Diceros bicornis minor: one gene and its partners. The protein of the gene in region 2 interacts with the protein of the main gene of each other region in a pairwise test. Links are inferred from orthologs where the notes say so. Each region holds a gene or a part of one and is shown on either strand. Other genes may lie near its edges. The genes, in order: ZNF276, ZBTB8A, KIF9 and ARMCX1.

Region 1 (7,234 bases), on a different chromosome or scaffold from region 2:
GACACCAAAAGCAAAGGGAACAAAAGCAAAAATAAACAAATGGGACTACATCAAACTATAAAGGTTCTGCATAGCAAAGGAAACCATCAACAAAATGAAAAGGCAACCTGCCGAATGGGAGAAAATACTTGCAAACCATATATCTGATAAGGGGTTAATACCCAAAACATATAAAGAAGTCTTACAACTCAATAGCAAAAACACAATCCAATTAAAAAAGGAGCAGAAGATCTGAACATTTTTTCAAAGAAGACATATAGGTGGCCAACAGCTACGTGAAAAGATGCTCAACCTCACTAATTATCAGGGAAATGCAAATCAAAACCACAATGAGATATCACCTCACTCCTGTCAGAATGACTATTATCAAGAAGACAGGAGAGGGGCCGGCCCCGTGGCTTAGCGGTTAAGTGCGTGCGCTCCGCTATTGGCGGCCCGGGTTCAGATCCCGGGCGCGCACTGACGCACCGCTTCTCCGGCCATGCTGAGGCCGCGTCCCACATACAGCAACTAGAAGGATGTGCAACTAAGACATACAACTACCTACTGGGGCTTTAGGGAAAAATAAAAAAGGAGGAGGACTGGCAATAGATGTTAGCTCAGGGCCGGTCTTCCTCAGCAAAAAGAGGAGGATTAGCATGGATGTTAGCTCAGGGCTGATCTTCCTCACAAAAAAAAAAAATAATAAATAAATAAATAAAACTGTTTAAAAAAAAAAAAAGAAGACAGGAGATACAAGTGTTGGTGAGGATGTGGAGAGAAGGGAACCCTTGTGCACTGTTGGTGGGAATGTAAAATTCCATAGTGCAGCCACTACGGAAAACAGTATGGAGGTTAGTGGAAAAAAAAAAAAAAGAACTACCCTATGGTCCAGCAGTTCCATCTTTGGGAATATATCCGAAGGAAATGAAAACACTATGTCAAAAAGATATCTGTACTCCCACATTCACTGCAGCATTATTTACAATAGCCAAGATGCGGAAACAACCCCAGTGTCCACTGATGGATGAATGGATAAACAAAACGTAGTGTATGTGTATACATATGTGTCTGTATATATGTATATATATATATACACATACACAGTGGAATACTATTCAGTCATAAAAAAGAAGGAAATCTTGCCTTTTGCAACAACATGGATGGACCTTAATGGCATTAAGTGAAATAAGTCAGGCAAAGAGATGAATACCGTATGTTCTCACTTATATGTGGAATCTAAAAAAAAAAATTGAACTCATGGATACAGAGAACAGACTAGACTGGTGGTTACCAGAGGCAGGGGAGTGGGTGAAATGGGTGAAAGTGGTCAAAAGGCACAAACTTCCAGTTATAAAATAAGTCAGTCTTAAGGATGTCATGTACAACATGGTGACTACAGTTAATAACACTGTATTGTATATCTGAAGTTGCTAAGAGAGTAGATCTTAAAAGTTCTCATCACAAGAAAAAATAATCTGTGTGTGGTGATGGGTGTTAACTAGGCTTATGTGGTGACCGTTTCACAATACATACAGATATCCAATCAAAATGTTGTACACTTAAAACTAATATAACGTTATATGTCAATTATATCTCTATAAAAACTTTTTTTCAAAAGACATAGATCTAAAAGACTTTTTTTAAGTGAATCAACAAACGTCTTCACAGCTGTGGAAACGCCATTCCTCCTCACAGCATCCTCCGGAGGCCACAGCGACGCCGTGTCCGCGCTCTGCCTCCCTGGGCCTCCTGACTGCAAGTGCAGATGGCGCCACCCCTCTCTGCCCGGGAGGCAGCCGTTCTCCGGGGGCAAACGCTCTGCACGCCCCGCCAGGCTGGGACCGGGCACCTTCCATTGCACCCACCGAGTTCTCGTAATGGCGAGGACGGGAGGCCCCGAGAGCTTAGGCAGTTATCTCAAGGCTACAGAGCACAGGGCAAAACCAGGACTGAAACCCAGGCCTGTCCGAGCGCAGAACTTGAGCACTAATCACTTAAGGAGCTCGGAGTGGGCTCGACAGCGTCAGCTGTCCTGCGAAACACCGCGGCGCAGGCTGCCGCCGACGCCACGGAGAGGCCGCCCTCCCCCGCTGTCCGCGGGAGGCCTGGTCTGCTTCCAGGAGCCCGACGGCGCCGAGGGCGAGAAGAGGCCCTGGGGACGTGGTCACTGGGGAACTGGTGGTCACCGGTGGTCACTGGGGGACGTGGTGGTCACTGGGGGAACTGAGGGAACTGGTGGTCACTGGGGACACGGTGGTCACCGGGGGACGTGGTGGTCACTGGTGCTCACTTGGAGGACGTGGTGGTCACTGGGGACGCGGTGGTCACCGGTGGAGGTGGTGGTCACTGGGGGAGTGGTGGTCACTTGGGGAACTGGGGGCCGCGGTGGTCACCGGTGGTCACCGGCGGCCCCGGCCGCACCCTGTCCCCCCGCCCCTCAGCCCCTGGACCCACCTGCCTCGTCGGCGCCGTCCTCGCCCGCATCCCCGCAGGCCCGAGCCCGGCCCCAGCCCAGCCGCGCCGCCACCAAGGCCGCCGTCTCATCCACGCTCGGTCCGCTGCGAGCGGGGCGGCCCCGAGCCCGGCCGCCGCCGCCGCCGCCGCCACCGCCGCTGCCCGAGCCCCCGCGCTGCCCCGCCGCCCCAGGCGACAGGAAGCGGCCGAGCCGGTCGCGCTTCATGGCGGCTACCGCGGCTACAGCCCGGCCCCGGCGCTCCGCCAGGTTCGGCCTGGGTCGGTTCAGCTCGGCCACGCTCGGCTTAGCTCGGTCCCGCTCGGCCCGGCTCGGCTCTGCTCGGCTAGGCCCGCCACTGCTCGGCCCCACTCGACCTGGCTCGGCTCCGCTCGGCCCCGCTCGGCTCGGCCCCGCTCAGTTCAACTCGGCTCTGCTCGGTCCCATTCAGCCTCGCTCGGCTTGCAGGGGCCGGCCGCTTGGCCCAGCTAGGTCCTGCTGGTGCCGGAGTCTCTCCTCCGCTCAGGTGGACTGTGCTCGCTCGTTTCCGCTCAGCTCCGCTGTTCGGGTCCGCTTGACTGGAGGGGGGCGGAGCGAGTGATGAGGGTGAAGGGAGAGGGGCGGGACAGAGTGAGGAGAGCAAGAGCGGGGAGAGGAGAGGGGGCGGGACGGCGTGAGAGCAAGGGGCGGGGCGAGCGGTGAGGGGCGAGGCGGCATGAGGAGGGCAAGGGGCGGGGCGAGGAAGGTGAGACAAGGGGCGGGGCGGCGGGTTAAAGTGCTAAGAGGCGGGGCAGTGTGAGGAGAGCAAGGGACGGGGCGAGTGGTGAGGGACAGGGCGCTGTCAGGAGGGCGAGGGGCGGGGCGAGGAGAGGGGCGGGGCGACGAGGAAGGGAGGGCACGCGGAGGGGGCGTGAAGAGGGGCGTGGCGGTGTTAGGAAAGCAAGGGGCGGGGCGAGCGCTGAGGGGTGGGGCCCGTGAGATTGGCGTGTCACAGGCGTGGAGTGAGGGCGCCGGTTGTTGCACTCGCACGCTCGTGGCAACTGCGTGAGCAGGTTACTTGAGAGCTTCGCCATCCCCATCTCCTCCCCTTCGGCCCCGGGAACTGAGCACTCGGGGCGGCAGGGGCGGGGCCGCCGGAAGTGTGCCCGCGCCGGTCCTGCCTTTTCCCGCGGTCCGCTGCTCGGGCGGCGCCCGCGCCCGCTCAGGGTACGTTCCGGGCTCCGGGCCGCCCGCCCCGCCCCTCAGCCGCCGCCCCCCCGCCCGACAAACCATGGCCGCTGCGGCCGGGGACGGCGCGGTGAAACCGCTGCAGTGCGCCATGAAGCTGGCCAACGGGGCCATCGAGCTGGACACTAGCAACCGGCCCCGGGTGAGGCGAGGCGAGGCGGGGGCGGTGGCCGCGGCGCAGACCCGGGGGCGGGGCGGGGCCACGGGGTGGGCGCCGGCGGGACCCTCGGGCGGGACCCTCGGGCGGCGGGCGGGGCACCGGGCTCCCATCCGCCGGTGACCTTGGACAGCTCCCGTCCTCTCGCTCTGCGTCCTCCATCCGTTTAACGAGTGGGCAGTCCCGTGGCCGCGGTTTTGTTTGTACTGGGATTCAGAGGGTCTGTGAAGCGGCCCTCCAGAACGTATTTGGCGGACAGGTCCATGTGTATGTGTATTTTCTGGGCAGACACGGTAGATTTCATCAGATCCCCAAAGGGGAGGCGGTCCGGAAAAGGTTAACCCGGCTTCCAGGCGTCGTCCGAGTGTGCTTGGAAGGGAGGGCGGCGGGGAGAGCTGCGGCTTGTTTCGAGAAGGGGTGTTTCCAGGTGGAGAAGCCGGCTGAGCCACGCTGGGCTGTCCAGGGAGGGGGAGACTGCCTGTGCCCAGGAGAGGCGGCCGGCGCCGCTATCCGCTGCCTTCCCCAAGTTGGTTTTCTAGAGCAGCAGGTGCCAAGTCAGAAATCCTTCGCGGAATCCATTTTATCCTTATCTCTGAGGTGTAGACTTAAAGACTGGTAATTTGAGAACTGGGATGCAACAAAACAAACAAAAAACAAAACACGATGCTGTTCCAAATGCCCTGAGCTCTGTCAGGGAGCCCTGAACAGAATGATCCACCCTTGAAACTGGTGATAGTCTAGTGTTCCAGACTCCTACATGCCCAGGGAGTACTATGCTGGGGTTCAGGAAAGGGATTTCCCAGAACCTAAGCCAGAAAGTGATTCTAAGATTTGCAACATCAGTCCCTTTAGTAACCTCCCAGGAAATATTTTTTTAAAGCCACTGAATGAACGGCTTCTGAGTTGTACAAGAAGGAAACTTGTTGCATAGAGTGAAAAGTGACAGCAACTGCCAAGGCCACTTCCCCTGGCCCACTGAATGAGAGTCTTCATTCCTTCCTGTGCTGGAGAGAAAGGCAGTGAGAGGAGGGATGGATGCCCAGCCAGGTCTCTTTTTTTTCAAGTCTGGAGAAGAGGGATCTGATCTGTGCCCCAGGCAGAACATCACTGATTAGACCGGGAGGAATTACCAGCTAACAACTTCAGGCTCGCTGTCTCAAGTGTATCTCACAGGAACCACTGTTCCTGTGTTTCCCACAAGGGCACCAGGCGGACGTAATGGAATAGTTTGCCTCCACTGGCCCAACCCATGCCTTCTCTCCCCTGGGCACAGGAAGCATATACAGAATACCTAAGGAGCATCCACTACATCGCCCAGGTACTGCTGGAAGAAGTGGAAACCACCAAAGGTACAGTTCTCAGCCTCGCTGCTCCTTCCGCACTGGGCAAACGGTGGACAACTTAGCCGGTGGTGGGTCCCTGGGGGTGTCCTGTGTCCTACCCACTTGGTCATTAGCGGAAGGTGAACGGGTGTGCACTCAATAAGCACGAGCTGTCGCACTGTGACGCGGGAGTGGGAAGGGATGGGTGCTGTGGGGAAGGGATGGGTGCTGTGGGGAAGGGGATGGGAAGGTGGTGGAGGCATGACCAGAGACTGGACATTGAACCCCAGCCCAGGAAGAGTACGGGGGTAGCATTCCCAGCAGAGAGATGTGCAAAGGCCCTGAGATGAGAGTGGGTGCTGGGTACCAGGAAGGCAGGCTGGAAAGAGGAGGGTGCAGTTGGGGCAGGCAGGGCCTTGGGTGGAACTGGGGTCGTTCTGGTGTGAGGGGAATCTCGTGGAGGCTTGTGAGGGGAGACCAGCATGGAAGCAGACCCTCCAGGAGGCGCCCACAGTGAGGTCAGCAGTGGTGGGACCACCTAGAGGTGGGAGGAATGAAGGACTTGGGGATATTCTTTAAAGGTAGACCTCACCATGCTTGCAGGCAGGGCAGGGGGTCGAGCCACTGGGGGGGACAATGAGCTGCTGGGGGAATGGTGAGGCACGGGGCAGGGTGCACAGGGGTGGCAGGAGCAGACTTGTGGGGGAGGAATGGAGAGCTGCATCCTGAGCACATTCTGCTTGAGGTGTCCAGCAGCCCACTGAACACAGAAGCACAGCAGTCAGGGAGAGGCGGGAGTCACCAGAATGGAGCTGCCCTAGGGAGCCAGTGACTTAGCAGGGCTCTGGCCACTCCGAGATTGAGGACTGGGAGGGGGGGCGCAGTGGGAGTGTCCTTGAGAGGGATGTCCTGGAGGAGAGAGGACCTGAGAGGTGGGGGAGCCCTCAGAGCAGGGCAAAACGTGGCTGGGTGAGTGAGGGCAGTTTCAGTGGGAGTCAGGGGCTAAAACAGGGTGTGGGGAGGGGCCAGCTGTACAGGGAGCAGGAGGTGGGTCAGGAGCGGGGGCTGGCAGGGTCCAGAGGAGAGTTTTGGGTGCCAGCTCCTACAGCATGTCTGCTGGTAGGAGCAGTCCCCAGAGGAGGGAATGCAGAACAGAAGCTACAGGGAGGCGCCAGGGGTGGGGTTGAGCACAGCCAGAGGGCGGGAGATGGGTGATGAAGCCGTCTCTGTGAAATGGCCTGTGTCTTGAGGAGAGGCTCTAGGTGTAAATGAAGCCCTCAGTGAGGAGAAAAGGCCTGGTTAGGTAGAGAGACGGCTCCAAAGGTCCAGCTGAGAAGACAGGACAATCAGTCAGATGCTGGGCTGGCCGAACTCGGAGTCCACACAGGGTCAGGAAGTAAACCCGGGGCAGATGGTCAGAGACTAGGAGGGAGTGGGGTCACCCAGGGGTCAGAGGTGAGGAGGAGATGGGCTTGCCTCTGTTGTCATCTCAGCAAGAATCTGATTAGTGATGAGAGGTGATGGTGACCAGCCTTCTTATCCCTTGCTCCCCAGAAGCTGGGGAAACTGTGTCCCTGGACACCTCGAAGATGCTGAAACTGGCTGAGCAGTGCCTGGAGAGGGCCCACTCAACAGCTGCCAAGCTTGGTGGGTCTGCAGCAAAAGGTTTTCCTGGAGCACCCCTCAAGTCTGCATCTCCTCTATGGAATGTGGGGATCCCATGATGACCCTTGGCTACATATGTCTTGCAGGGAAAACACGCCTGAAGCCAGCCATGCCTGTGGCTGCTCCTGTCCCCTCACCTACCACCCGACATCGCCGGGTGTACTCAGATGAGGGGGGGAAGCTCTCTCCATTTCTGCCGCCTGAGATCTTCCAGAAGCTTCAGGTGGTAGAGTCGCAAAGCTCTAAGAAGTAAGATGGGGCAAAATAGAAGGTGGGCTGAGCCAGGGTTTGAAGGCAAGACAAAGTGAGCTAACCATGTGAATTTAGTTGAAAGGGGTCCCAGAGTGGAAACACCCTTGTGCTGGCAGAAATGAATGCAAATTGTCTTTGGAGCAGAGCAGCTTCAACTTTCATAAAATGAATGGCAAA
Region 2 (7,609 bases):
CTTTTTATCTAACTGAACAGCACTCTGAGGTACCACCTTAGATCTTTTTTAGGTCTTAACAAAGGATTTTACAGCCACTCTCCTGATTTCATCTTTAGATTTTGTTTTCCTGGCATTGTCCTGGATTTAATCTTTGCTCAGAAACTATTTCTTAATTTTAGCATTATTTGCCACCTAGAGAGGCTGGGGATTTTCAAAACCAGCAATTTCTGGCTTCCTTTTGCTTAACAGTCCTTCCTTTAGCTTATCTCTCTTCTTACATCTTTTACTACATGTGGCAAGAAGAGACCAGGTGACCCCTTCAACCCTCTGCTTGGAAATCTCCTTAGTTAGATCACCCAATTCATTAGGTACATTTTCTACTTTTCACCTTACTGCAGGCAATAGTGTTGCTACATTTCTGCCAATACGTAACAAAGACCCCCTTTCCTCCAGCGCCCAATAAGATTTTCATGATTTTCCTTTAAGCCCTCACTTTCAGCTTCCTCAAAGGCCATCAGGACTCGACTCTTTTTTGAAAGGCTCAAACTTTCACTAACACTCATCTCAAAGTCCTTCCAGCTTCCACCCACTGCCCAGTTGCAGTTATATTTTTAGGTTTTTGTTATGGTAGCACTTTTAGGGACCACAATCTGTAATAGTTATCTATTGCTGCATAACAAATTACCCCCCACAGATTAATGGCTTAAAACAACAAACATTGATTACTTCAGAAGGTTTCTAAGGGCCAGGAATCTGGGAGCAGCTTAGCTGGTTCTGGCTCAGGGTCTCTCATGAGGTTTCAGTCAAGCTGTTAGCTGGGGCTGCAGTCAGCTGAAGGCTGGTCTGGGGCTGGAGGATATATTCCAAGATAGCTCACTCATATGGCTGTTGGCAGAAAGCCTCAATTCATCTCCGCATGGCTGCCTGCGTATCCTCAGGCAGCTGGCTTCTCCTAGAGCAACTGATCCAAGATAAAGAACAAGCAGGAAACTGCTTTGACTTTTATCACCAACACTCTGAAATCACATGCTATCATTTCTGCTTTATTCTATTCTTTAGAAGCAAGTCAGTCAGTCCCGGCTCACACTCGTGAGGAGGTGAATTAGGATCTATCTCTTGAAGGGAGGAGTGTCAAAGAATATGTAGGCATTTTAAAACCATCACACCTATCCATGCTCTTCTCTTTGCCCTCCAGTTTCAATAAGGATAGTGGAGTTATCACTTTTCCTACCCAGGGGCTGTTCCTCTATTGAGATTTTGATCTCCTTCTCCCTGAATTTGCAGAAATTCAGCCACTATTAATTATTACTCCGATATACTCAATATCTCTCTCTCATCTTCCTGTTTTCCATCAGCAGTTAAACATTTTTAAAGTCTTTTACCCATATCCCCTTCTAGCTAATACCCTCTCTATTTGCCTGGAGTAGTTTTAAAACATGGCCTTAAATTCTCTTACATTCTTCCCATTAAGAGACAGCATATATGTCCCCTTCTGCTTGAATCTTGGTAGGCTTGTGACTACTTTAACCAATGGAATATGGTAAGTGAGGCAATACAACTTCTGTAGAAGGGTATGAAAGATCATGCAGCTCCCTCCTAGTTCTCTTGGAATACCCCCTCTTTATATGCTCTCTCGGGACACTCACTCTCAGAATCCAGCCACCACGCTGCAAGAAGCCCAAGCTGCATGGAGAGGCCATGTGTATGTGCTCCAGATAACAGTGACAGCCGAGCCCAGCTTTCAAGTGATCTCAGCCTTGGCACCAGACCTATGAGCGAAGAAATAGTTTCCAGTTCCCAGCAGTTCAAGCTATCTTCAGCCATTTAAGACTTCCCAGCTGAGACTCCAGACATCGTGGAATAGAGACAAGCCATCCTTGCTGTACCTTGCCAAATTCTTGACCCATGGAATCCATGAGCATAATACAATAGTTTTTGTTTTATGCCACTAAGTTTGGGTTGGTTTGTTACACAGCAATAGTAACTGGAACATCCCCTTTACAACCAACTCTCTCAAAGGAGTCGTCTACTCTCATCATCTCTATTTCTTCATCCTCCACTTATTCCTCTTATATAGGTTTTGCTCCTTTCTTTCAAGCTTAATAATGTTCTCTGAAGTCAATGATCTCCAAGTTGTTAAATCTAATAGACATTTTCTCTTAGTGCTAAGAGAAGTAGTTAACACTATTGTCTAATTCTTCCTTCTTGAATTACTCTCTTCTAGTTTCCATAACACCACATTATTCCAAGTCTCTTCCTTCCTCTCTAGCCACTTCTCAGTCTTATTTGCAATTTCACCTTCCTGTAACCAGCCACTAGATGATGAAGTTCCTCAAGCTTGGTTCTAAGCCTTCTCTTCTTACTTTATAGTGTGCGAGATCAAGATTTGGCCACCCTGAAATCTATCTCTTTACCTTGATTGTTTTCTCTGAGGGACATTTGACCTCCCCCACTAACTGCCTAAAGAATTTGACATGGTGGCTCCTTCCTGGGACAGATCTTCTATCATGATGGCTGTAATGATAATGTAAAATAGATGTTACAATGGGAGGGGCACCAAGCCCCTTTTATCAAAAAACTCTCTCTCTCCCTGACCACATTATCTATAGATGACCCTGAAAAGAATTGTCTTCTTGCCCTCTGAAGTCCCAGACCACTACCCACCCGCAACACCTTCCTCGCCTTTAGCTACAATACTTAAGCAAGCAGCTTAGACAGAGGGACGAGTTGCTCATTTCTGAGTTTCTCCTATGTATACATGTTATTAAACTTGGTATTATTTTCTCCTGCTAACCTGTCTTGTTAATTATTTGGCCAGCCATAAGAACCTTAAGGGAAGGGGCAGAGGGGGATTCTCCCTCTTCCTCCAACAATAGTCTTTCTCTCTATCCATATCCATGGTTTTAATTCCCAGCTACAGGACATTGACGACAACATTTTATCTCAACCAATTTCATCTATTAAGCTCCAGTTCATATGTCCAGATAACTTCTTAACATTTTGTACTAGTCAGGGTTCTTAGTTGCACAGAGACTGGCCTTGGCTGATTTAAGCAGAAACGAATGTATTAAAAGTTCACAGAATCACAGGAAGAGCAGAGCACAGGGGCTGGAGCCTATGCTAAGTGGACAGAGAGAACAGCCCAAGTCATAGCACAGAACTTCCCGGTGATGATACCAACACTGCTCTCAGCAAACAGAGACATGGCAGCTGGCACCATTGACAGCATTAGCACTGGACAGTGGATGCTGCCACCAGCAGCACTGCCACTAGGGCACCTGGAGATATTATCTTGCTGCAACCGTCACCACCGCCAGAAAAGACTCTGAGGTTTCCGCTTTTTGGTGTCAGAGCTCCCTCTTCAAAATCACTGGTGGATAGATCTGATTGTCAAAATATAGACCATGGCCATTGTCCTAGTTGCAAGAGATTCTGGGAAATCAAGTCACTAGCATTTCCAGATTCTATTGCAGAAACCTCCCATCAATTAATCATAAGGAATTCTCCAAATATATATATGAGTTTCAGAAGCTAGGAGGGGGAAAGCGAGGAAAAAACTCCCATTACTTCTTCCTTGCAACAAAGAGTTTATCACCAATCTGATGTGCTCTCTTGAGGAACAAGTTTGTAGAACTCTTTTGCATGTTTTTCATTAACTAAGGCTAAAATAAAACCTTTCGCTATAACAATGCCCAGATCTTTCTGAGAGAATTCTCAATGGGGATGCTAGCAGAGCAGCTTGAGTACATCAACACTCCTGACACCTAGTGGTTTTCAAACATTTCCACTTACCTGTTCAGAATGTGAGGAAATGCAACTAAATAGCAACACACCTCAAGAGTAATACTGAAGTGACATTAAGAGATAGTTGTGAATATTTTGTATCCTTCTCATAGACAGTATGATCCTCAAAATGCATAGCTAATTATTGATGAACCAAAGTAATAAACTTTGTACATGACTGATTATTACATAGGAGAGGAATCCATCAAAAAACTAAATGTCTTGACATTTTGAGTCTTTTTTTCAGTTTTACTATATCTCAGTACTTTTCAGTACCTGACCCCAGCATAAGAAACTAGGAAACAAATTTAGTTTATAGAATTAATGTTTTTGTAGTAACAGTGAAAGTTCAGTGATTTAAGATTCTAGCAAATATATAACCTGTTTGTACTCTAAATATTAAGGACATAAATATGTCAGAAGAAAGGCTTGATGTACAATGAATTTCGGTATTTGAAAACACAAAACCTGCTATTTTTACTGGTTTTATGTTTTCTCTGAACTTAACCAAGATTTATTTTCTCTTATCTCAGCCTCTCTGGATTTTCCTCTTCAGATAAACTGCTTGTGGCCTGTAGAGGTTTAAAAAAGGTTATCCCCGACTAAAATAACTGCCGCAATAAAGGGAAAAATTCTGTGGAAATCTCTTACATTTGACGTTGCAAAACTTAAGTACAATAATGTCACATGTACTTATACAGTAATTGTGGGCACGCCTAAGTCCCTCCCTCTTTCCTAAACCAAATTCCCCAGATCCTAGAAATCCAGCCCTTCTGCCCTCCGGAGGCGCCTTTCCCAACGTAAAGCACAATTTTAAATTTCAGCTCCTGACTAAATAATGATTCCGTAGTCAACTGCCGGGGAATCTGGGCACCCCAGTGCCTCCGGAGGGTGCAGCGGGGCGTAGGCAAGGGCAGGGGGAGTGGGCGAAGCTGCTGGTTGGTGCCTGAAATCTGTGCGTTGCCCCTTTAATTGTGTCCCCAGCCCTCGGGCGTTTCTGTCCAACGCCCACGTCAGCAAATACCTTTTGTTTCTCTCACGTTGGGGCTACTTGTTTTAGGGCGTAAAGGAACGGCTTCGAGAGGGGGTATTTCCCCTGCCGGGAACCGGGAGTCTTCCCCCAGCCCGCGCGCGCGACCCGCCGGTGCGCCGCGGCCCGCGGTAAGTGGCTGCGCGCGGCGCGGGCGGAGGGCGGGCGGGGCGTCGGGGCTGCCGGGCCGGCCGCGAGCTTCGCTGCGGGCGGAGGCGCCGCGGGCTCTGACCGCCCGGGCGGCGTTGGCGGCGGGATGCGGCCCGGGCGCGGCGCCCCCAGACGTCCCGGGGCGGGAGAGCGGCGGGAGGCGCAGAGGCGAGCGGGCGCCATTTGCAGCCCGGGGCGCAGCGGCGGCGGCGGCGCGCCGGCTCCGAGGGGCTGGAGACGGTCACAAAGGAGGCGCGGGCGCCGGCGGCGGAGGACGCGGCCTCGGGGCGGCGGCCCGGGCGGCCCGCGGGGAGAGGCGGGCGGCGCCGGGGCGCACCGGCTCCGGGACTCCGCGGCCGCCCCTCCCCGCGCCCGGGAGGGGCTGCGGGACAATGGCTCGCCGTCGCCGCCCGGCCGGCCGCGGCGCGGGGAAAGGCGGGAAGGCGCGCGGAGTCTCCCGGCGGCGGCGGCGGCGGGAAGGCGGCGCGGGGACGGTGCCGGGCGTGTCTGCAGCCGTCGGGCGCCGCGGACTCCCGGCGGGTCGGCGGCCGGCGGGGCTCGGGCTGCGCGGCGAGTGACGGGCGGGCCGCCCAATGGGGCGTCGGGGGCCGGGCGGGCGGGGGGCCCGGGGCTTCTCCCCCGCCGTCCCGGGCGCTTCCTCGGGAGGGTGGTTCCCGGGGCGGTAGTCCGAGTGTCTCGGTACATCCTCCATCCTTTGGTTTTTTATCATGATGCGACAGATCCGGGCTTAGAACCGAAGGCAGACTTGTCTGCACCTAACAAATATCGAGCTGTAATTATTTTATGACGGAAGCACACATACGCACCTTCTACCCGTGTAGACTGGCTCTTCTGTAAGTTAGCGGTTTGGCCCCTTCCCCTTCAAATGCGCTTATTGATCGTTGATTGTGCCAGTAGCTAGACTGCACATCTTTCAAAGACGTGTTTTCTTTTGATTTTTTTTTTTTAAACTGAGATGTAATTGACATATAACATTGGTCTAACGTTTAGGCCAAGACGTATTTGGGAGCGCTAGATTCCCACCTAGTGGGCTTTTAACGACACACGTCAGTATTACTTCTATTCTTAATAAACGTTTATATTTGCAGAACTTTATTTAGTAAATGGAGTGCTTTCACCTCTACGAATTGTTTCACATAAAACAACCACCCAGTCGGGCCGATAGTCATTCCACTTTTCAGATGAGGAAACGCGGTAAGCGCGGAGTTTAAGCGTTAAGCCAGGAGGCGAACCATGGCAGCCTCCCAACCGCCTTCGCTTCCTGTTCTTGCTCTTCATTCCCTCCTAAAGGCACCTCCAGAGTCTTATGGAAAGCAAGTCGGTCACGTCGCTCCCCTGCTCTAAAAACCTTAACTGGTTTTTATCAGAAAGAAAGTCCAAAATCCTCAGAAGAACCAAGGCCCATACTTCCTCTCTAGTCTAATTTCACCCAAGCCTCAGGTATGGATGGGTTTCTGGGAGCCCGGGAGCAAGCGCCCTTCACTGGTAACCAGGGGTCTCATGTCGTTATTCTTGGGGACCTTTCTGGCCACACAGGCAGTAAAGGGGAAGTGAGAATTTAACCAAATGGGTGCGTGTGGGTTCGGGTATAAGATGTCCGTAGGAGGCATCATGAGTACCTGGACTCCTAGGTCAGATAAATTTCCAGCGCCATGAAAGAGGGCACCTTGCCAGACCTTATCTCATGGCCTTGAAATTACCAGCTCTGCTGGTAAAGATTTGGGCCCAGCAATAACTGTGTAAAATAGAGTAATACTTAATTCATCCTCTATCATTTAAATCGTATTTTCTAGCTAAAACAAAATTTCCATCTAATAGGCTTAACCCTTTCAGTGACATAATTACATGTTTATAATATTTAAAGGATTTGATGTAAGTTGTTTGATTCCCCTTGAGAGAAGTTTTTGTCACTTCTTAGCTCAAAATTGGTCAGTGGCTCCCCATCTTACTCAGATGAAAAGCCAGAGGCCCCCACATAGTCTACAAGGCCCTGCAGGAACTGGTCCCATGATATCCTACCCACCTCACAATCTGCCCTTCCTCTCTGACTCCATCTCTCATTGCTCTCCCCAGCCCTCCTTGCCTGCTCCACCTCAGAGCCTTTGCACTTGCTGTTCCATCTGCCTGGAACACTCTTCCCCCAGATAGCCACATGACTCTCTCTCTCTCCTTTGGACTTGACTTAAATGCCATCTTCTCAGTAAGACTTTCCCAGCTATGGTTTTGATTCTCTTAAACGTTTTATACTTAATTCTAAATCTTTTCCAGTGTTAAAAGATGTTTATCCACCAAAGAATACAATTACCATGCAGTTAGCTGAAGTTCCTTCTGACCCGGGGGTTTTTGCCAAGGAGGCTGATGAGATTTGTTTGGGTGACCCTGATGGGACACACTAAATTCTAGATAAATGACTATATATCTTAAAAGAGGTAGTCTTCTAGCCCACAACCTTAATTCAAGTTACACTCGTTACCTAAATCTTCAGTCTACTCATAGAAATTCTTGTCTTTTCCTTCTATTCCAAAGATCTTTGAACTTAATGGTTTATAAAATACATAATTGTTTTTTCCATCCACCTTTTTAAAGGTCTTTGAAGTTGATGGAGATCTTGATTTCTTTAATATTCTTGGGACTTTTATAGAT
Region 3 (7,340 bases), on a different chromosome or scaffold from region 2:
AGGTCGGACCAGTTCAATAAGAAACGAGGCATTTGCCCCTAAAATAACCTGTACATTCATGGGGCAGGAGAGAGGAGTTGAGGCTAAAGAAAACTCCTGGACACTTTTGAAAAAGACAACCAGCAAAGGAGTTTGCTGAATTTACAATGAGTTAGAGAAACACGGGCCATAGGGAGCTGACTCAATTTCATCTTCAAATTGGGAAATAGCAATATCGACACAGTTATTAAGGAAAAAACAGCTTGCTTGTGCTACTGCAAAGCACTCTAAGAAATAAACTGATATGATATTTAATATTTTTAAAAAGCTAATTTTCAAGACCTTTACTGTAAAGAAAAAGTCATGCATGACAGGGATTTCTTCTTTTAATTACAGTTAATTATTTCACTTTTTAAAAATGCACATTAAATAAAGAATATTAAAATTTGACACATATTCTCTAAGAGAAGTTCAATGAGTGTTACCCGATAAAAATGATTCCAGATTTTGAAATTATCATTGACCCTCCACATTTCTAGACACAACTTGTGGGGACCACTTGATTTCCTCTTACAATTATAGTAACTATCATCAAGTGGCATTAAGTATCTCTATAGAAGCAAGTTAAAAAGAGACAGGCCCCCCTCTTTCAGTTTACAGTTTCAATGCTGTGGACAGAGTAAAACTCTAACCCCTGTTACAAGCACTTCAGATGTCAAATCAAATAAGCAAATATGTTACCTTCATATTTGCCTATTGGAGAGTGTGTGTCCACTTCCTACATTCCTCCAGTAATTATTTCATGGAAGTCTTTTCCAAGCCACTATGGGATCATTCAGACCTTTTAACTTTTAGAAAATGAATCTGAAAGGTATTCAAGTAAGCAAGGATAATGGCTTGTCCAATTTCAGTTCTAAAATTTTTCTCTACAAAATTGAGCTCTAGAAATAAAAAGCCACAAAGAGCTCTAACACGAATCCCAAATTGAGGAAATTGAAGAGAACATCTCATCTCCAAGTTCACTTTGTTCTAGGCTATTGGGAAGGTGAGTGGAGGGAGGTGTGTTTTGACTCAAGCAAATACTTACCCTCAATCTCTAAAGCTCTAGGAACCATTTCCCAGACCAGTTCGAGGGCCCATCCTCCTGTCCAGGGAAGGTAAGATGCTGCCCAAGGTGCCCTTTGAAAAGGATCATAAAGAAGCAGGCCAGGTCTGGGGGCAGGTGCCCAGGCCTCCCTCCCGGCAGCCCCCACTCACTGACAGCACAGGAGGCCAGCTCCAAGCATCACCCTCCCCTCAGAGCCAGCCCCTTCTCTGCCCTGCAATTTGCCAACATGCACATGCAGTCACCCTATTTGTGCTTCCCAAGGCCCTCCCCGTGCTCACACCCATGGCTCCAGGCATGCCAAAAGTAATATCCAACTGAAGCAAGCCTTCTCTATTAACTACATCCCTCCTGTGAATCTGCTGCTTAGCAGCCCCTCAAGACCCACACATTTGGAGACCCCATGCCATCTTGCACTTACTGAAATAATGCTTGTTACCGTTCTTACGCCGCATCATTTGAGTGGGCTTCAGTTCCCAAATTAAATTACAAGCTGCTTGAGGGATAGGACTGTGCCTTTTATCTCTTTTGAATCCCCCCTCAACGTCCAGAGCAGTGCCTAGCACAGAGCAAGATGCTCAAGAAATGGTGGTTGGTGGTGATGGTCACAGCTGGAAGTCAGAGGGTGGCTGAATCTCCATATGTGGGTCCATCTTCCGTCACTACTGAGATAGTTCCAAGGGGCATATGATGTCACTCCCCTCCCACACCACCTCCAACTCCTAAGCCCACAGCCCTTCCAGGAGGACACTTGGTTTCCAGGCACCACTTGCAAGAAGCCATGTTCAGCCTCTCACCACGCCCTCCCTTTTAGTGGGGTCCTTCTCCCTCAGGACCTTGTAGGGAATGCCCCTTTCTCATGGGCACCACTCTTCGATATTTCTGGCATAAATAAGTGAACCTCTGAGTGTGGCCACCAGGAGACCTCCCTGCTGAGAGGCTCGCGATATCACCATGGTTTTAGGGGTGAGAATGAATAGAATTGCCACCAAGGACCCCTTAAGGCTCGGTAAAAGGAGAGGGAGCGTCTCCTGGGCCATAGGCACCAGGCGGGTCCCTACTTTCCAGCGCTCCTGCCCAGACCAGGGGATCTCATGGAGAACCCTCATAACCACCAAAGCGGCAGGAGCATCTAAACCCCAAAACACAGAGGCCAAACGCACCCAGCCTTGAGCTAAACAAAAGACTCGGATCCAAGCAGAACTGGCCTTATCTCCTTTTTCACCCAACATGCTGGACCCCTGTGCGGAGTGTGGGAGGCAGCGGAACCTGGGACCATTCCTGTCTCTCTCTGGAGCGGTTTCCTCGTCTGTAAAGCGAAGGGCTCGGAATGGCGATCCCGAAGACCCCTCCAGTTCGAAAACCAACTAGTACACAAAAGTCCAGAAGATCTCTGGTCCTCTGCCTTGCGCCCTCTGAACCTCAGGCGCGAAATAGGACCGTTGTGGGGCCACGGAACGTTAGATCCGAAGACCCTATGCCGCAGCCAGGCTGAAAGGGCCCCGGCGATGCCACGCCCTCCTCTGCTCAGGTTTCACAGATCATCGAAACAAGCTAAGGAACTCCCCTGTGGAGCGGTGTTCGGAATCCAGCCGCTGACCGCCCCTCAGGTGTACACCCCCTCTCCGGCCTCCCTTCTCTCCATCCCGGCTGCTCGTGGCCCCTGCTCACCGCTCCCGAAGTAGCGGCCCTCCGGCAGCGCAACGGCTGACAGCAGCGACCGAAACCTGGCACGCACCGCTGCCCGGCTGTGTACACAGTCGCCATGGCAACGGGCCGCTTGCGGAGATTCCGGAAGTATCCGGATGGTGGCGGAAATGAAGTCCGCAGTCCTCTGTTGAGACACGAGTAAGATCAGGGCAGAATTGGGAAGACGGGAGATGGGACTGATTAATCTAGGAAGACTGCGGCAGCTGCAGGCGCGAAGCCAGGTCGGGGAAAGCAGCGGTAGGAAGGCTGCACATGAACAAGGAAGCGGGGCAGCAGCGCTTCCGGCGCAGAGCCGTCGGTGACTACGGCGGCCGCGCAGGCCCAGCTGGTTCCAGCCCTGCGGTCCGAGCTGCAGTCGGCGCGCCCCCGCGCCCCGCCCTGCTTAGTTTCGGGCCGGCAGGCCAGGCCTGCGCAGTCGCGGCGGCCGGGGAAGATGGTGGAGGACGGCGCGGAGGAGCTGGAGGATCTGGTGCACTTCTCCGTGTCCGAGTTGCCGAGTCGCGGCTACGGCGTCATGGAGGAGATCCGGCGGCAGGGCAAGCTGTGCGACGTGACGCTCAAGGTACCGAGGGCCGGGCGGCGCGGGGACGAGGGAAAAGGGACCTAGTGAGGAGGAAAGAGGGACGGGGGAATAGAGGAAGAGAGGTCTAGCGGGCAGAGGGGTGGGGAAAGGAGGTTGGAGGGAGACCGAGTACGGGAGAGAGAGCTGCCGAATGGGAGAGGGGGATTGGGGCTGAGTGGGGAGACGGACAGGGACAGCCTCTCAGCCCTTAGAAGGAAAGGCTGAGATGTGCGCCGTTGAGGCCCTCGGAGTGCGAGACATTGGGGTGCCCGCCTCCCTTTTCTGTCACACAGAAAGAGAAAATGGACTTGCAGCCCCTCTATGGAGGAAGGGGCGGTGTCAGTCTCAACTTTCTGATGGGCACCGCTGAAGCACCTTCTGCGACACCGTAGACATAGTTTTTTGTCTCTCAAAGTTAGCTGTGCTGTTGTAGAGGCGCAGGCTTCTCTTTAGGAGTCCTTGCTTGCCCTTGATTGTTAGATTACTATTTGTCTCTTAAGAGCTTTTAAAATCAGATCTGGAAGTCTTTTGAGGTGGGCGGCTACTCTGCCCCACACTGGAAGACACACCACTACCACAGAGGTCTCAGAGAATGGACTGATGGGCTGCGTAGGGAGAGGGATCTTAACCACCTGTTCCCCACTGGCATTCTGGGCGCAAGAGCCAGCCTTCCTCCTGTGCTTTGCATCCATGCCTACTGGAGAGGCATGTGCTGTGCTGCTCCTTGGCCCAGCTGCTGAGCCACGTGGAGCCCTCCAGGTGGGGAAATGCTGCTGCAAGCCTTGTTCTCTGGTGGGCTTTGACTGGAAGGCTCTCAGCATCTGTGGAAGACCCTGTTTAAAAACAAAACTATGCAGAGATCATTTTGCTCTTCTTATTTTCTACAGGGTTAAGGAAACTTCTGCTTCCACATATTTGAGTCAGACCCCTGGAGACAGTAGAGTAGAATGGTTAGGAGTGTGGCTTTGGAGATAGAAGGATTTGGATTAAAATCCTAGTTGTAACCTTGGGCAAGTTAATTAATCTCTCTAAGCATCAGTTTTCCTAATGTAAAAATGGGGATGATTCCTAATTCTCACTATTAGTGTAAGGATTAAATGTGAAAATTTATGGTATTCTTTGCATAATGCCTGGCATAAGTATTTCCACAGTTTAAACCCCTCCCACAGGAGATTAGTTTTCCAAGAGAGGAGTGAAGTGGCCTGAGAGGGGAAAGGATCTTTAGAAGGAAACCATGGGGTTTGAGAAAAATGAGCTGGACTAAAGGAGGTAGAGGAAGTAAATACAAATGAGAGATTTTTGTCCATGGTGATTATGTGACAGAAGATGTTGAGGCTACTAGAGATTTGTAAGCAGAAGAATCATCTGGTTGTGGCGGTAACACTTGGTGTGAGTAGAGACTGGTGAAAAGCAGTAATAGGGGAGAGTTTTTGGATTAAGATTTAGGCTGTAGGGTGAGCCAGGGAAAGCTTGTAAGACACAGAGAAGCAAAAAGGACATGATAGAGTGGGATGGTCACAGATACTTCTACATAAATTAAAGCAGTGCATTTTGCCTCTGCATTTAATGCGGATATGGAATATAGCAACTCTTCAGCATAAAAATGCTTGGATGATTTTTCCATTAAAATGTTTTTTGTTCATTCAAAGGGACAAGTAAATTATCAGAGGTAGTTCCAACCGAGAGTGTCAGTCTAAATTGCTGTATTAGTTTCAAGGGTCTGGGCCATAAGGACCAGTATAAAGCCACAGGCTAGAGCTGGACAGGACCATAGACAGCATCTGCTTCCTTGGTTTTCTAACTCTCCTGTAGAGCCTGAGGAGCCCCTCGGTAGCAGTGTGATGGTGGGGCCAGAGAGAAGCCAAGCAAACCGGGCTCTGCCTCATTTCACTCCCCTTCATTAGAGCTGCTGTATGAAATCTGTTTTGGTCTGTCTCTTTCAGGATAGAGTCTTTCCTGAAACTTCTGGTGATTCCAGACTGTCTTCCAAATAGATAGGCACTGAAAATCTCATTGGAAGCTTTTTGGTGTAGGATGGGTTTATTGACTAGTGGGCCTCCCTGTAGGGCGGTGGTTCTCAAACTTCAGTGGGCATCAGAATCACCTGGTGGCCTTGTTCAAACACTGGTTCTTGGGCCTCACCCCAGAATTTCTTGTTCAGTAGGTCTGGCATGAGCCTGAGAATTTATATTTCTGACAAGTTCTCCAGTGATGCTACTCCTGGCCTGAGGCCACATTCCTAGAGCCACAGGATGATAGACTTGTCTTTTTCAATGGGATATGTTCGGAGTCCATGGATCTTCCTTCAGGCTTCTGCCTAGGTGGAATAAGCCTGACTGTTATCACTCTAGGAGCCTTATGGTGGGAGGGGACTGGAGTCTCTTGCTTCTGTATGCAGACTTTGACTTAATCCCCCTGAATGGTGCCACTTCCTTGTCTTCAGTGGTGCCCTGGTTACCCAGGTCTGGAGTCTTTAGTTCATCCTGTCCAGAGAATAAACCTCCAGTCTTCTGCTGGGGTGGTGACAGAGCAGTTGCTGGGGAAGGGCACCAGTACTGCCTGTTTTCAACCTTCCTTATGCACGTCTTCAGAGGAAACCTGTGTCTCCAACAGTTGAGTTTTGGAGGGGGTTCTGCAGTGGCTTGCCATCTGCAGCACTCAGTATTCTCCATCTAAGTCAGTGACTTTTCATTTGTCTGCTTTTCATCTTCCAAAATTGGGTACCCTTTCTAATCTGCTCTCTCTTTCAGCTTCTTTTTCCTTGGAAGCTTTGCTGTTCCTTGATTGTCAGTCTGAGAGGTAGTATAGCCCGACTGCCTGGGTTTGAATTCTGGCTCTGCCACTTATTAGCTGTGAAAACTTGAGCAAGTTCCTTAAATACTGGTGATTCAGTTCCTTCATCTATAAAATGGGGATCATCTCCTACCTAGTAGGAGTGTTAAGGATGCCATTAGTTAATACACTTAAAACAGTTATGTAGTAAATGCTCAATAAGTAGTAGATATTTATGAATAATAACTTAATGGGGTTTCCAGAGGGAGTGGAGATAAACACATATGTTCAACCTGCCATTTTGAATTTGCTTTAGCTTCTGATGAATTCTGGATGATTTTATCTAAACATAATGTTCATTGCCTTAAAAGAGTTTGCAGACCACTGCTCTCTCTCAGTAGCTTGCAGTTTTACAGATGAGAACCCAAGCCCAGAAGGAGAAGGGACTTGTCCAAGGTCACAGATTGAGTTAGGCAGAACTAGGACGAGAGGCTAGACTCCTGGTCTCCGTAGTCCAGGTCAAGTGTTCTCTCTTTTTCTTTTCCCCTCCCCAAAGCCCCAGTGCATGGTTGTATATGCTAGTTGTAAGTCCTTCTAGTTCTTCTATGTGAGCTGCCGCCACAGCATGGCAACTGACAGACCAGTGGTGTGGTTCCGTGACCAGGAAATGAACCCGGACCGCTGAGGCGGAGAGCGTGGAACTTTAACCGCTATGCCATCAAGGCTGGCTCTCAAATGTTCTTTCATGCGCTCCTGTTGCTCCTACTGTCACTGACAGTGACTGAACTGATTTCAGCTGCTACTATGTGAATTAATCTACCTTAGGTCATTTGTATTCATCCTTAACAACATGTCATCTTTTCTACCTTCGCGAGTTTTAGGGAGAGTATGAAAGTCAGCTTTAGCAGGCATGCCACATTCTCAAAATTCACTGCCAACTCTTGAACCTTGCTTAACTTTCTTTTTGGAAATATTTGAAATTTAAATTCTTTGGGTTCCTGTTGGATAGTTAAGTAGAGGCATAACAGAAAACGGTAATATATTGGATTTTTTTTAATCACATTCTGTATCTGTGGTGACTTGAAACTCTGAAAAACTGAAAGCGATGAATCTTCCCCCCAGAAAAATGCACCTACTTACATATGTGCAAAATTTTGCATTCAGTCTTGAGAGCAATTCCCCTTAAGCCCATCTTTGGATCTTTTTTATTTA
Region 4 (7,904 bases), on a different chromosome or scaffold from region 2:
TCTAGCTGATTGTGCAGGTGCTTGTGTCCTCCAGTTCTGCTTGTGCTTGATCCTGTGTATAAAACTTCCATCTTGTTGCTGGGCCTGCCCACTCTTACACCTTGGTGGATCTGACACAACTCAGCTCATGATGGGCAGTTCTGGCTGCATAGTCACTTGCATGGTCACATGATGTCCTATGGCCAGGCATTCCATCTATACCAGGACATAGTAGCATACCAGAAACTGTCTTCAAAAGGTACATAATTCTCCATTGCATGTGGTATGGCTTTGCTCCAGAACCTAAGTTCTTGACTAAGCTGTGACTTTCCCATTAGGGCTTACCAAAAACTCCATATGGCAACTTTTGCCAACACAGATACCTCTAATACATTAGGGTCTATCTATCATATGGGCCAAGTGGCAGGACTGCTTGAAACTGCAGCCTGGACCTGCTATAGAGTCTTCTCTTGCTCTAGGGCCCACTCAAAGCTGGCAGCTTTTTGTGTCACCCAGTACATGGGTCGAAACAATAATTCCAGGTATGAAATCTGCTGCTTCCAGAACGCAATGAAGCCTACCACACGTTGGGATTCCATCTTCGTGGGGAAGGTGAAAAATGCAATAATTTGTCCTTTACTTCAGAGGGAATCTCCTGGCATGCCCCAAACCATTCAATCCATAAAAACTGCATTTAATGTAGCCAGCCCCTTGATCTTTATAGGGTTTATCTCCAATCCTCTGGTGTACATGTGTCTTACCAAGGCCTCCAATGTGCTATCCACTTCTTACTCCTTTTGGTTCAATTAGCATGATGTCATCAACATAGTGGACTAGTATTATATTCAGATAGTCCAGATCTCTTCAGACTATATTATGACAGAGGACAGGAGAGTTAGTAGGGCCTTGAGGAAAAACTATAAATGTATACTGTAGCCCATTCTATGCGAATGTGAACTTTTTCTGATGTTCCACTCTGAGAGGGATAGGAAAAAACACATTTTCCAAGTCAATAGCTAATTACTAGGTACCTAAGGCCATGTCATTCTGCTCTAGCAAAGACAGCATATTTGACATGGCAGCTGCACTTGTGTCACCACTTGGTCGAGTTTGCAGTAGTCTACTGTCATATACCAGGCTCTGTCCACGTTTTGCAGAAGCCCAAACTGGTGCATTAAATAAAGATATGATGGTGAGACCACACCCCGGCATTCTTTAGGTCTTTAAAGGTGGTACTAACTTCTGCCGTCCTCCCCAGGATGCTGTACGTTTTCATTTACTATCTTGGCCGAGGAAGTAGAGGGCAGTTTCAGAAACTTTCACTTGGCCTTCTCATCTACAAATAGCTCTGACTCCACAGGCCAAGAAAACAACATGGGGCTTGTACCAACTATCAAAATATCTATTCCAATTATACATTCCTAGACCAAGAAAATAACTACCAGGTGAGTCTGTGGACCCAGTAGAACCACTGTGAACTAGGCCAGGAGCCCATTTAATACCAGGCTCCCATCTGACCCTATTCTAACAGGGGGACTATGATGACACTTTAGGTCTCTGAGTATCAATATCAACTCAGAACCAGTGACCATCAGTCCTCAAAATGTTTGGGTATTCCTCTTTTCCCAGTGCACAGTTACCTGAGTAAATGGAAAAACTGGAGGAATCATTACTACATATATGTTATAGGGTCCTTCTTTCTGGGAACCCAGCCTCTCCTTCAAACAGTGAGTTCTAGATCAAAAAATGACTTAGGACCAGAAGCTGGCCAAGGGATTGTGACTTTTTATTGAGGCAACTTCTCTCAGACTCTTGATCATCTTTGATTTCTTTTGATTGTATAGATTGTTGGCTGCCTATTTTCCCCAAGGCACTGTTATATTAACCACCTGCATTCTATTAACTACCTCTTAACCATCTATTCGGCAGGGGCACTGTGTTATATTAACCAGCTCCACAGCTCTCTGCAGGTCAGGCCTCTCTGCCTGCCACTCTGACCCTGTGGTACATTATGGTATTTGCATCTACCTAACATCTGACAGTTGAGTACAGTCATCCTGCCTCTATTGTTTCAGAGCCATCGCCATTTCTATCAGTTACCCTCATCCTGTAACATCCTCTCCTACTCTGAGCCCTGGCCTGCAGAGGCGAGCCACCACTGAACTTCTAAGTGATGCTGGTGCCCCTCTCACAGGTGCATTCTTTACAGCTTTGGCAAATGGCGTACCCTTTGGGTCTACCTGCAGAACATAGTCCTCAGGAGGGTTTTCTGGCCTTACATACATTTATTCTATCATTCCCACTTCCCTGAGCCTTTAATCCCTTCTCCCATCATCTGCTATGGAAACTCTGGCATTCATACCTCACTTAATATGGGCCATTGTTTTTTCCATACTTTGAGGAGCCATTCTAGTAGTGAGTTCACATGGTCTCCTGGGGTCTTTCCCAGGGTGTTCAATCCTCTATCTTGGGAGAGAATTCTCAAATCAATTAATTCTCCTTTATTCAATTTTATATTCCAGCTCCCCTGATCAAGGCCCTCAGAATTCAGTCCCATGCTTACTCCCTCAGCACCTGCTAGTACACGCTGGCTAGGTCCCACAGCTCCTTCTTGGGGTATTCCCTTTCCTTCCTTATGAGGCCCAGCACAACCCCAATGAGGTTACACTGTGACTTAACCCTAGATATAGGCCCAGCAGCCAGGATGGGAGGTTGAGGCAGATTCTGAGGGAAACACACGTTATCTTACAAAGGCTCTGCATGTTCAAGCAAAATGAAGTTCTAGCCCTTAAAAGGAAGGAGTGGGACACTTCTGAATGCTCAAGCAGTTCAGGGAAATCTCAGGATACAAGATTTTTAGGGATATCAATCCAGATGTCCCCATACCATATGTGAGGGTCCCCATTCCTTCCTACCTAGGACCCTGATCTTGACACAGCAGATTTGACTTGGTTGGGATTTTAACTTTTTTGAAGCTTGCTTTCAATAAGTCTTGAGCCTGGTCCTCAGATTTCTGTACCCTCTACCTGGAAAAGATGAGGACCTCATTATATGCTATAAATAAAGCCCTCAGGCTTTCACATATAGCTTTTAATTGTTGATTAACTTAATTCAGCTTTTCATTATTTTTTTCTACAGATTAATCAAGCTTAGCAATAGCCACCCAATTTTATGGCCTTCTTTATTTTTTTTTTAAACTTTATTTATTTATTTTTCCCCCCAAAGCCCCAGTAGATAGTTGTATGTCATAGTTGCACATTCTTCTAGTTGCTGTATGTGGGATGCGGCCTCAGCATGTCCTGACAAGCGGTGCGTAGGTGCCCGCCCGGGGTCCGAACCCGGGCCGCCAGCAGCGGAGCGCGAGCACTTAACCGCTAAGCCACGGGGCCGGCCCTATGGCCTTCTTTATATTTAATATTTCCCACATATTTCTCAAAGCTGTTACCTGGCACCAGTTAATGCATTCCCTTCACCAGTGCTATCCCAGTTCACCACCAGTGAAAGCTCTAACAATTCCTCTGCCACCTGTTCTAGGTGCCTATCTACTCCACCTACCACCAATGATGGGGTCCTCATTGCCAGCTGGGCAGCAGATGATCCACCTCCAAAATTTCATCACAGTGTATGCTTTCCTGAACCACTTCTCATACCAACTGTTGTAGCTTGCCTTCCTGGAGAGCAGACTCAGACACAGAGTTCAGCATGAAGGGCTTTTATTAGGGAATGCTCTTGGGATCAACACCTGTGGAAGGGAAAAGAAGGAAGCAGAATTGGACGGAGGGAAAAGTTAAGCTGTCTCATTTGGGGCAAGAAGGCCATGTTGATCAGTCATTGGATGGGAAGTACCCCAGGAAGGGGGTATGACCTTGGAAGAGCACTCCTAGTAACTGAAATAATAAGCCCTCTATTCCCGAAGGAAGATTAGGGCAGCAGATTGCAGAATCCACAAGTTTGACATCATTTTTTCCACTAGAAAGTTGGTGGCCATCAAATGCTAGAATTGAGAACAGTTTTACTTTTAACACAGTTACTAAAGTTTAAATTTCCAAACATTTGCACTTACATTTACAGCTTTTTTTAAATAATATTTATTTATAATATTTTTTATACCTTCCAAATATTTACACATAAATATGTGAGCCTCCATTTATACTTTTTCTCTAGTCCTCTGATATGCTATTGAAAAGTCTGCTTAGCCTGAATCCATCCGATTCCTTTTGATAAATTATGCAAAAAAATCCTGGTTTATTATATAAAAATCAGAAAATACAGAGGAGTAAAAAACAGATACGATCACCATTAATCTAACACCCATAGGAAACAACTAACATTCTCAGAGTATACACCAAAGTTTATACATAGAGATAATTTAAATATATACTTTTTCTTCGTAAAAAGTATGGCATGTGCTTTGGCAGCCTATTTTCCTCGCTTAAGATTATATGCTGAATTTTTTCCAAGTAAATACGTGTAGATGCCCATCAACATTTCAAGAGCTGCATAATGTTTCAATGTGCAGACATACACTAATTTGCTTAGCCAAATGCCTATTTTAAGACACTTGGGTCATTGATGATTTTTCAATCTTCAAAACAGTGAAAAGATGCACAGCCTTGTATAAGCCAATTATTGGATTATTTCCTAAGGATGAATTTCTACAAGTGGAATTATTGAGTCAAAGAGCACACACATCTTGAAGGCTTCTGAAACATGTATCCAAATTGACCTCGTCCTAGTGTAGGCTCCCACCAGCACAGTCTGAGAGTGCCCCTCCCCACACACCCTCACCACCCTCTGGGGTGGGAGAGTTGTGGATCTTCTCCAGTATGGATACCAACAGCCCTCGTGATGGTTCCATAAAGATCCTGCCCCAACCAACCTTATAAAAGTAATCTGATAGAAGCACTAAAAATTATTCTTTCTTCTAGTATATTTTCTGATTTCAAAATAATAACTAACGTATTCACTTACATAGACACCAAGAGTTGGCCAAGAAAGAGGACGTTTTCCTGTCAAATGGCCCCAGGCCCCTAAAAGAAAACTGTCCCTCTCTGTATGCCCCCAGAATAGGTTCCAGAACTTCTTCCTTCAGAGGGTCTCTCACTTCCTTCCTCCCCTTACCATTCCCACGGCCAGCAGTGAAATTTCACGCCTTTATCATCTCACGCCTGGACGATGGTGGTAACTTCCTAAGTGGTGTTCCAATCTCCAGTGGCCACTCCTGTCCCCACCCCCAACTCCAACCCATCCTGCACAGAAATCAGCCACACCGTTTTACTTTCATCCTGTCACTCCTCTGGTCACGAAAGGCTTTGGTGTCTCCCAGGGGTGGATGGAGTGATACGCAGGCATCTCGGTTTAGCAGTCAGGGATCCTCCACGAATGGGACTCACCCCAACTGCCAGACCGTATTTCCCATCACTCCCCTCCCCACACGTTGCGCTCCAGGCAGCCCAGCCTCCTCTCTGGAGCAGGATTCCCACCTCCATGCCTTTCTTCCCGCCACTCCTCCCTCCTCCAATGCCCTTTTGCCCCATTATTATCCAATCCTTCAAGCCTAGCTTACTTAAGTGTCCCCTCCTCTGTAAAACTTTCCCTGAGCACTGTTGCCTGCAGAAGTTTCTGCCACCTGTAAGCACTAATAGGAAGCAGCTGGCCATGATCAGAGGCTCCCGGTTTTGTTAATATCTTTTTTTTCCATACATCTTGTCTTTCCAAATAGATCATACACTCAAGGACAAAGACATGTCTCTTTTTTTCTGCTTAAAACACACAACTTTATTGATGACATAAAAATAAAGTCTCAAATATATAAACATAAGTCCACACAAAGGACCAAAGATTACCTTACTTATGAAGAATCAGTTCAGTTTCTGCTCATGAAGCATACTAAAAATATCTCAATCCAGACAAGGTAAAATCAACACATGTATTTTCAGTACAAGTTTGAATTCATTTGGTGTTCATAAAGTGGTCCAACTATAGACCATCATAAGTAACATCAGTTTTGAAGTTATAATGCAATTTACAATGTGCATTATTTCCAGTCTGCAAAACCAAAATATTACTCAGCTTTGTTTGGAAACATAAAACTAATCAGAGTTTACTTAATAACAGTTCAACTCTTTCTTTCACCTCAGGGTCATTGTATTCTGCTGCTAAGACTCGAAGTTTCTTGGCACATGCTTTAGGTCGTTGGAATACGAAATAAAGGGAATTTTTGCTGAACTTGTCCTGGGTAAATACTTTTGCTCTTCTTTTGAAATGATAATTTATATTTTCAAATAGTGAAAGAGCATTAAGAATATTCTCTTTTGTCTCTTTCTTGCTAAAGATATTAATCAGTGATGTTGGTGCATTAGCAATGAGTAAGTCTTTTGTCATAGATGGATTTTTAGAGAAATTCAAAAGCATTCCCAAAATATGGTCTTTAGTTTCTCCACCTCCCACAGTTAACAAACGAAGAAATTCTGAAATATAATTTGTCACCATATGCTGATACTCACTAATAATAGTCAGGTGCTTTATCAATCTTAGTCCAGCCAGCTGCACATTTGAATTCAAGGGATAAGTGATGGTGTCTTCACATACTTGATTTAAGTACGTTTTAACCTTCCTATGATTTTCAGCAGCCACTGAGATGTTATTCAGTGCATTTAAAGCCTTCTGCCTAACACTGGGGTAGGGATTATTGAGCAAGCTTTCAATAATTGAGATTTTACCTGCATTACGAATGACTTCATGGGAAAATGGATAATCAGGACTGTTATATAGAGCATTATTGGCTATTTCATGAATAGAAGGATCTTCAGTCATCTCAATCATGCAAATGAGTTTTTCAAGTTCTCGTGGATCCATATTAGCTTCACGTTTACAGCGGCAGGCCCAGGGCTGAGTTTTCTCCCCAGACCTGATCTGCTTTCTGAGTTCCTCTTCAGGTGGGAAGCAGGAGTCATTTTGGTATGGGAATTTCATTTCTGTCCAGATCATGGCTCCTGCCCATGACCCCATTCCTGCCCCAGGGACCATGGACGGATATGTGCCTCTTGACTCAGCTGACTTTTTGGCTTTAGTCTTAGGTGTAGATTTGTCCTCACTTCTGTTTTCATTACCAGCCCAGAACCAAGACCTTACATCGACTCCACCAGCAGCCTCAAGTTTATCCTTGGTGCTGGCCTTACACTCAGAATTGACATCTTTCTCACTCTTGGATCTGGACTCATTACTGTTCTCACTCTCAGCCCAAAACAAAGACCTTAAACTGATCTCCTCAATATCAGGGCTGGATGCTCTACTTAGCTCATCCTCATCTACATCCTCAGCCAAAGTCCAGGACCGCATGCCAGGCTTTTCCCCAGCCCCAAGCCTAGATCCTGTAGTGGTTGCATTTCCATCCCAGAGCCAAGACTCCTTCCCGGCCTCAGCCCCTGCCCCAGCCCCAGCCTCAGCCCCCGCACGGGAATCCATACAGGCCATCTCTTCAGATCTGATCCAAGACTCAATATTGGTCTTGTCCTCAGCCCCAAATCTGGAACTAATGATGGACTCCTCCCCAGCCCCTGATGTAGACTCACTACTGGCCTCGTTTTTACCTCCAGGCCTGGATACAAAACCAACTTCTTCCCCTCTCCAGAACCAGGACCCTGTAGTAGCCTCACCTTCAGCCCCAAACCAGGATTCTTCATAGGCCTCTGTCCTGGCACTGACCTGGGACCTTCCACTGGCCTGGTCCTCAGGCCTCAGCCTAGACCCTCTACTGGCCTCATTTCCAGGCCTAGACCCAGCCCAGGATTTTCCACCAGTCTGATCCCTAGCACCAGCCTGGGAGCCTCCTCCCCTAGCCTGATCCTCAAATCCAGGTTTGGAACAACTACGAGCCTGACCTCCAGCCCCAACCCAGGACCTTCCACTGGCCTGACTCCCAG

What was found.
Region 1: the proteins of ZBTB8A (region 2) and ZNF276 interact in binary tests that used the Homo sapiens proteins (3 or more experiments, as listed by UniProt). The two-hybrid records come from large-scale screens. The link is inferred for Diceros bicornis minor from reciprocal best matches to the Homo sapiens genes ZBTB8A and ZNF276.
Region 3: the proteins of ZBTB8A (region 2) and KIF9 interact in binary tests that used the Homo sapiens proteins (3 or more experiments, as listed by UniProt). The two-hybrid records come from large-scale screens. The link is inferred for Diceros bicornis minor from reciprocal best matches to the Homo sapiens genes ZBTB8A and KIF9.
Region 4: the proteins of ZBTB8A (region 2) and ARMCX1 interact in binary tests that used the Homo sapiens proteins (3 or more experiments, as listed by UniProt). The two-hybrid records come from large-scale screens. The link is inferred for Diceros bicornis minor from reciprocal best matches to the Homo sapiens genes ZBTB8A and ARMCX1.

The regions. Positions count from the first base shown.
Region 1 is NC_080771.1:38,054,461-38,061,694, reverse strand, and holds the start of ZNF276 (zinc finger protein 276), read right to left. Parts: upstream 3,018-7,234; 5' UTR 2,663-3,017; coding exon 2,437-2,662; intron 1-2,436. Other genes in the region: VPS9D1 (VPS9 domain-containing protein 1), read left to right, coding at 3,705-3,803, 5,092-5,167, 6,695-6,787, 6,892-7,054. UniProt on the Homo sapiens protein: May be involved in transcriptional regulation.
Region 2 is NC_080752.1:47,225,744-47,233,352, forward strand, and holds the start of ZBTB8A (zinc finger and BTB domain-containing protein 8A), read left to right. Parts: upstream 1-4,599; 5' UTR 4,600-4,926; intron 4,927-7,609. UniProt on the Homo sapiens protein: May be involved in transcriptional regulation.
Region 3 is NC_080741.1:48,642,225-48,649,564, forward strand, and holds the start of KIF9 (kinesin-like protein KIF9), read right to left. Parts: upstream 3,008-7,340; 5' UTR 2,756-3,007; intron 2,667-2,755; exon of another isoform or gene 1,124-2,666; 5' UTR 1,095-1,123; coding exon 1,067-1,094; intron 1-1,066. Other genes in the region: KLHL18 (kelch-like protein 18), read left to right, coding at 3,228-3,356. UniProt on the Homo sapiens protein: Essential for normal male fertility and for progressive motility of spermatozoa.
Region 4 is NC_080781.1:94,604,168-94,612,071, reverse strand, and holds the start of ARMCX1 (armadillo repeat-containing X-linked protein 1), read right to left. Parts: upstream 3,009-7,904; 5' UTR 2,895-3,008; intron 849-2,894; 5' UTR 741-848; intron 1-740. Other genes in the region: ARMCX4 (armadillo repeat-containing X-linked protein 4), read right to left, coding at 6,076-7,904. UniProt on the Homo sapiens protein: Regulates mitochondrial transport during axon regeneration. Increases the proportion of motile mitochondria by recruiting stationary mitochondria into the motile pool. Enhances mitochondria movement and neurite growth in both adult axons and embryonic neurons.